Xenopus tropicalis: one gene and its partner. The protein of the gene in region 1 interacts with the protein of each later gene in a biochemical or structural test. Links are inferred from orthologs where the notes say so. Each region holds a gene or a part of one and is shown on either strand. Other genes may lie near its edges. The genes, in order: msh4 and mlh3.

Evidence for each region.
Region 2: the proteins of msh4 (region 1) and mlh3 form a complex in vitro, tested with the Homo sapiens proteins (2 studies listed by BioGRID). The link is inferred for Xenopus tropicalis from reciprocal best matches to the Homo sapiens genes MSH4 and MLH3.

Annotation. Positions count from the first base shown.
Region 1 is NC_030680.2:80,957,674-80,961,506, forward strand, and holds part of msh4 (mutS protein homolog 4), read left to right. Parts: intron 1-163; coding exon 164-274; intron 275-3,833. UniProt on the Homo sapiens protein: Involved in meiotic recombination. Required for reciprocal recombination and proper segregation of homologous chromosomes at meiosis.
Region 2 is NC_030684.2:82,223,499-82,227,331, reverse strand, and holds part of mlh3 (DNA mismatch repair protein Mlh3), read left to right. Parts: intron 1-2,560; coding exon 2,561-2,720; intron 2,721-3,219; coding exon 3,220-3,243; intron 3,244-3,833. UniProt on the Homo sapiens protein: Probably involved in the repair of mismatches in DNA.

The DNA of each region.
Region 1 (3,833 bases):
ATTGTTTATTGTTGATTGAAGGTTGTGGGTTCCTACACTGGTATAATGGTAAATGTTGTGTATTACCTAAATCTGAAGTTCAAAGTTAGGATAGGATGGGACCTTCATAAGAAATCATCTCTTCAAATATTGTAGGTAAATAACATATTTTCAAATATTGTAGGTAATTACAAAACTTAAGATTCTGACACCTCTTGAAATATTGATGCCAAATACTGCTTGTGATAGTGGCACTGCAAGTAAATTGTTTCTTCTTATAGCGGAAAATTTCAAGGTAATTCTTATGTATTTTTTATTTTTTTACATCTTAAAAAATTATGAATGTATATTTGAGTATACCTGTTTGTACCTATTCCTTTCACTTTAAACTAAAACATATATTTTTTAGAAGCCCTACAGCAAGATATATTCCAAAGGTATAAATAACATTTTAGGATGGTGGTGGATAGTTGCGACAGGTGTAGCTAGGTCAACTGAAAAACGTAAACTGGGTATTCTACTGTAAATTCCTTATATTACAAGCAAGAAGCAAATTTGCTCCTGTAATGTTTTAGCTGTATTTGTTGAACAAAAATACTTTATCATAGTTCCTTTACCCTAGAGGCACATGTTAAGTCTTAAGTTTTTTCCTACACTTTACTAATGGAGCTACAGTTTTACCAACACATAGTACTGACTTGTATTATTTTAAAGTAGATAAAGTACACTTTATCACCCTACGTGTAATAGGATTACGTTTTTATTTTATATAAGTTCATAATAATGCTTACCTTTTACTGTCTGTGCTACTTAACATAATGTGCTGAATTGGCTCTGCCACATTTTTGGTTGTCCTCCCCTCTCCTAGAGTCCCGACGTACAAAATATATGTATATTTTTGGTGCAAACTACTAAGAAATGCCATTTTATTTCAGGGGTGTTCCCTTGCACTGGCAAAGCTATAGAGGAAGCAGACCACCGCTATCCCACCTGCGGCCAGGGAGAGGGGGAAGTAGGTGGGCAGGGATTTCCAGGGAGGGAACCATCAAGTTACACCACTGTTCCATTGACAAGGATTATTGGAGCCAATACATATTTTTTTATTCCAAACCTTTCCCTTCCTGGATCTTCCAATGTAATGTAAAACAATGGCATATCAATATCAATGGCATATGATAATCTAATGAAAGTCTTGGGGGTTTAGAGAGCTTTTTTTTTTTTTTATAAAATTTCTCTGGAGCACCCCGACCAGATATTGAAGTTTAATTAAGGGAAGAATTTTGTCAACTAAATGATGCCAAATCAAAGTAGTAGGAAGGAATGGACCAATCCAGTGTACAAAATAGTTTTACCAAAGTTTAACTTTGGGGTCCATCATCCTTTTCCAATTGAGATCAAAACCTCTGGCTTATAACTGGTAATTATTTAGAAGGACCAGAACAAATGAAAGAAGTCTTCCCCAGTCTCGTTACATGTCTTTTAGCTCTCCGTAGCTAGCCTGCCAATCTTAGCAAGTTTAACTGGTAATGCAATACATGCAACTGTGAGTCTATGTAATGCATAAACTAAGATGCCCTATAAATTAAGCCTCCCAAATTGTAAATGGAAAGCATGTTACAACTGAAAATAAGTTGTTTGGGAAAAGTTGCCTACAATTATGTTGCACATAAACAGAGCCATCTAGTGGCCTAAAATGTATCAACACTTGTTTAGCACAAAATAGTAATATTGATAAAAACACAGAAAAATAAGTAAATTTTCTGGCAGGTCATGTCAGTGGTCTACAAATTATGATATCTGTCTTGAGAAGAACTATATTACTAAAGCTCACATGGGGGGGCCGCATCAATAGTTAAAAAAATGCAAATTCAGCCCTACTTTAAACAGCTGGTTTCAGAAGCCAGAGCCAGACGTGCAGAGAACAGCCAAAACATTGCTTTCAGTAGTAAATACATTTACAACAACCACAATTATTTAATATATATTGTAAGGTAGCTTAAAATTAATTTTTTTTGTAAAAAGTAGCTCTTGATTGGAAGGTCCCTTTTAAAATTACCAGATACCCTGATAAAGTACAACCTGAGCCAAGTTTTTAATTTTGCCTCATTGTAAAAATGTCTCTTAGGCTAGAAATGCTAAACCATAAATTTTGGGATTGTGTAACCACCAAAGGTTACCACAGGAGTGGTACTGTCTGCCCTCTCCATCATCTTTTCTACTGATTCAAAGATCATGCCTTGAGCTGCTGTAAGTTACATGAGTTTAATTACTGACTTACAGTATATATACAGTTTAAAATGTAAAAACTACAAGGCTGGTTATTTCAGATTTACATTACATGAAATCATAGCAATCAGTGCATTCTGAAGCAGAACTGATGAATAATCAGCCCTATTGCATTAGCTTCTGTGACAGATGAAACCTCATCAGGAATCATTGGGTTTCTGATGATTTAAAGGAGAAGGAAAGGCTAGTAAAGAGTTAATCTCAAGCTGCAGGCATACCTCCAGTTGTCTCAATAGTGCACTTAAGTCTCCCCATATTTCACCTGTTCAGAAGATCTGAAGCCAAACAGGAAGAAAAAATGCTGAGCTGTGTAAAGAAAGTTCCCAAAATGCCTCACTCCTGCACAGACACCCAGACCAAACTTAACATGCTCAGTTATTTAGACTGAGTCAGCTTCCTGCTGATTGGCTCAGATCCACATTCCTAAGGGGGGGAGTAAGTTCTTTGCATTCTTGAGGGAGGGGGGAGCAGGAGAGAGAAGAAAGCTGCGTGTCTCTGGCACAGGAATTACAGACACAACTTATCTTTTTTCAGAGAAGTCAGTGCAGCGTTTCTGTGAGTGCTTATGGCTGTATTTACATAGACCTTTCTGATAAAGCTTACTTAGTTTTTACCTTTCTTTCTCCTTTAAAGGAGAACTATACCCTCGACCAATCTACTATAAAAATATACTGCATAGAACAGTTCATATGTAAAACCCTGCTTCACCTAATTAAAAAATATACCTTTTTAATAGTATGTGCCATTGGGTAATCCTAAATAGAAAATTCCCATTTTATGTACTAAGGGACACCCCCTGGGATCATACTATTCATAATGCACACAAACATACGAAGGGCACACACACATACATGTTAGGTCACATCAGCCAATTAAAGGGCAAAGTTATGTCTTTTACTCCCATGCTTCTTTCTGTTACAGTTAGGGATGAATTATTTCTGGTCAGGTGATCTCTAAAAGGAGCACACAGAGCATCACAAAATGTTGGCTCATGGTAAAAGATGTAAAAGGGCAATATTTACATATATATATATTCCCATTTGGTAAGATTCTTTAATAGGCCACTGAATATGATATAAACCATGTCGGTTAAGTATTCATTCTGGGCAGAGCTGTGGAGTCAGAAGCAATTTGGGTAGTTGGAGTCTCAAAAATGTACCAACTCCTAATATATTTAAAACTGTAATGAAAATGCATACAATATATTACTATGGTGGCTCAGTGAGAAGCACTTCTGCCATGCAGTGCTGGGGTCCTGAGTTCAATCCCAGCCAGGGCACTATCTGCGAGGTTTGTATGTTCTCCCTGTGTCTGTGTGGGTTTCCTCTGGGTACTTCAATTTCCTCTCACATTCCAAAAGCATACAGGCAGATTATTTACTTTAGTCGGGGATACCGACTATGTAAAATAGTAAAATGTACCTAATCCAGGATTCAGTTCGGGATTCGACCGAAAATTGGCCTTTTTCGGCAGAATTCGGATTTGGTCAAACCCCTGTTCCTGGCCGTACTGAATCTGAATCCTTAAAATCCTTAAAAGTGACTTCTGATATGCTTTGACTTAGCATA
Region 2 (3,833 bases), on another chromosome or scaffold:
ATCAGTCAGGATGATGACGATCCTGTGGTGATCGAAACGCGTAGATGGTATGCTGAAATAAATCACTGACCTGATTGATGCTGTAGCTGTGAGTGCTTTCTACTGTTGAGTTTGATGCATTATTTTTGTTAGCACCCAGCCTTTGCCCCGATAGGCACTCACCAGTATCGGGGCAACGGCTGGGCGCTGACAAAAATAATGCATCAAACTCAACAGTAGAAAGCACTCACAGCTATAGCATCAATCAAGTCAGTGATTTATTTCAGCATACCATCATGATATATATATATATATATATATATATATATATACAGTGGAGGAAATAATTATTTGACCCCTCACTGATTTTGTAAGTTTGTCCAATGACAAAGAAATGAAAAGTCTCAGAACAGTATCATTTCAATGGTAGGTTTATTTTAACAGTGGCAGATAGCACATCAAAAGGAAAATCGAAAAAATAACTTTAAATAAAAGATAGCAACTGATTTGCATTTCATTGAGTGAAATAAGTTTTTGAACCCTCTAACAAAAAAAGACTTAATACTTAGTGGAAAAACCCTTGTTTGCAAGCACAGAGGTCAAACGTTTCTTGTAATTGATGACCAAGTTTGCGCACATTTTAGGAGGAATGTTGGTCCACTCCTCTTTGCAGATCATCTCTAAATCCCTAAGGTTTCGAGGCTGTCTTTGTGCAACTCTGAGCTTGAGCTCCCTCCATAGGTTTTCTATTGGATTAAGGTCCGGAGACTGACTAGGCCACTCCATGACCTTAATGTGCTTCTTCTTGAGCCACTCCTTTGTTGCCTTTGCTGTATGTTTTGGGTCATTGTCGTGCTGGAACACCCATCCACGACCCATTTTCAGTTTCCTGGCAGAGGGAAGGAGGTTGTCGTTCAGGATTTCACGATGCATGGCTCCGTCCATTTTCCCGTTAATGCGAATAAGTTGTCCTGTGCCCTTAGCAGAAAAACACCCCCAAAGCAAAATGTTTCCACCCCCATGCTTGACGGTGGGGACGGTGTTTTGGGGGTCATAGGCAGCATTTTTCTTCCTCCAAACACAACGAGTTGAGTTAATGCCAAAGAGCTCTATTTTGGTCTCATCAGACCACAGCACCTTCTCCCAGTCACTCACAGAATCATTCAGGTGTTCATTGGCAAACTTCAGATGGGCCTGCACATGTGCCTTCTTGAGCAGGGGGACCTTGCGAGCCCTGCAGGATTTTAATCCATTGCGGTGTAATGTGTTTACAATGGTTTTCTTGGTGACTGTGGTCCCTGCTAATTTGAGGTCATTAACTAACTCCTCCCGTGTAGTTCTAGGATGCTTTTTCACCTTTCTCAGAATCATTGACACCCCACGAGGTGAGATCTTGCGTGGAGCCCCAGAGCGAGGTCGATTGATGGTCATTTTGTGGTCCTTCCATTTTCGAACAATCGCACCAACAGTTGTCACCTTCTCTCCCAGCTTCTTGCTAATGGTTTTGTAGCCCATTCCAGCCTTGTGCAGGTCTACAATTTTGTCTCTGACATCCTTGGACAGCTCTTGGTCTTTCCCATGTTGGAGAGTTTGGAGTCTGCTTGATTGATTGATTCTGTGGACAGGTGTCTTTTATACAGGTGACTAGTTAAGACAGGTGTCCTTAATGAGGTTGACTAATTGAGTAGAAGTGTCTAACCACTCTGTGGGAGCCAGAACTCTTAATGGTTGGTAGGGGTTCAAAAACTTATTTCACTCAATGAAATGCAAATCAGTTGCTATCTTTTATTTAAAGTTATTTTTTTGATTTTCCTTTTGATGTGCTATCTGCCACTGTTAAAATAAACCTACCATTGAAATGATACTGTTCTGAGACTTTTCATTTCTTTGTCATTGGACAAACTTACAAAATCAGTGAGGGGTCAAATAATTATTTCCTCCACTGTATATATATATATATATATATATAAAACAGTCCACACGACAGCACCACACTCCAAAATCTGCTGCTCTGCAGCTGCCCCTGTGCACGGGATATCACATAAATATCAAAATAAAACAGCCAGCACCAAGGGTCTTTGTATTTCAAAAAATCTCTTGTGTATTATAATTGCACGTACAACCGACGTTTCGGTCCCTTTTGGGACCTTGAAAAAGGTCCCAAAAGGGACCGAAACGTCGGTTGTACATGCAATTATAATACACGAGATTTTTTGAAATACAAAGACCCTTGGTGCTGGCTGTTTTATTTTGATATATATATATATATATATATATATATATATATATATACGAATTGGGAAAAGAAGCCGCACTCACAGGACTTAAGTACTGTGAGTGCGGCTTCTTTTCCCAATTCGTGTTCATTCTAATTTTGAGGATTGCACCCAGGCCAAGCTGTGGATTATACGTGAGTGCCAGTATTTCATTTTGTTTTTATATATATATATATATATATATATATATATATATATATATATATATATAATGTGTGTATATATATAATGTGTGTATATATATATATATATATATATATAATGTATATATATATATATAATGTATATATGCTTTTCTTTTATAGGGTCCTTGCTAGGAGTTCGCAAAGTATTGGCTTGTCTCTGTCATTTCCTGATACTCAAGGTCCATGTGTCCTGGTGTCAGCAGTCCCTGTGTGTTTTGTAGAGAGAGAAGCAAATGAATTACATCGTAGAAGGTCAACAGTAGCTAAAAACCTTGTGCAGGTATTGTATTATTGCTGAAAAAATATAATTATTAATTTGAGTTTTGTATTTTATAAGCAGGCCTAGTAAACGGTGTAGTTATGGAACTTGACATAATGCCTGCAGATAAAATCCTGATTTAGCTGTCCATTAAATTTCGATTGTATATCTTTATTTATAAGCGCTACTTATGTATGCAGCACTGTACAGTAGAATACATTAATACAAACGGGGTTATTAAGATTTAATAAGATTGATAAATACACAGTATAACAATAAATACAAATAAATAAATACAAGATACAGTTGCAATAAGTTAAGAGCCAAAGACACAAGAGGATGGAGGTCCCTGCCCTGTAGAGCTTACAATCTATTAAACAAACATGGAAACCTAGGTATTATGTATTAAAATTGTATGACTTTTTCCACATCTGTACATATTCTTTGAACTGGCTGTGGTCTTTTAGTCACTCAAATGCAGCAACCACAGAAAGTCTCATTTGTCTTATCTGTGTTTCAGGAGTTTCTACAAGAACAGGTGGAGGTAAGTAAACCCTTGTGTTCTTGTGTATTGTATAAGTAAATACATTTTACACTTGTTATCCCATGTTCAGTCTTGCCCTTACAAGAACAATTTTCTGTTCATAAAGGAGAAGTTGCCTTGTACAACATTTTACTGAACCCATGTATTGCAAAGCTCTCCTAGCTGACTACAACAAGGTGTCTGTGCTTCCTGTAAGGCAATGCTTTATTTAAATGTTATTGCAGTTATAATTACCTAGTTTTGCCCCTGTGAGCCCTGCACTTGTTTGTGGAGCCTACAGAAACACAAATAATGACAAAACTGCCAACATTTAACAGCAGATGCTAGAAATTGCCTTTTTTTCTAGATGATACAAAAATATATAATTCTAATTAAAAAAAAAATTCTAAATATATTCAGTTAAAAATTCTACTCCCTTTTTGAAATAACAGAAATACCTTAAACCCAAATTGTTTGTTTCGTTTTTTTTAATGCCCAGGGTGGCAGTACTCCTTGGCCCGGCTCTGTGAAGCTTATGAAAATAATTTGTTTGCATGATAATTCCCCTTTTTAGTCAAGACCAGACTTTGAGTAATACATATCTGAAAATA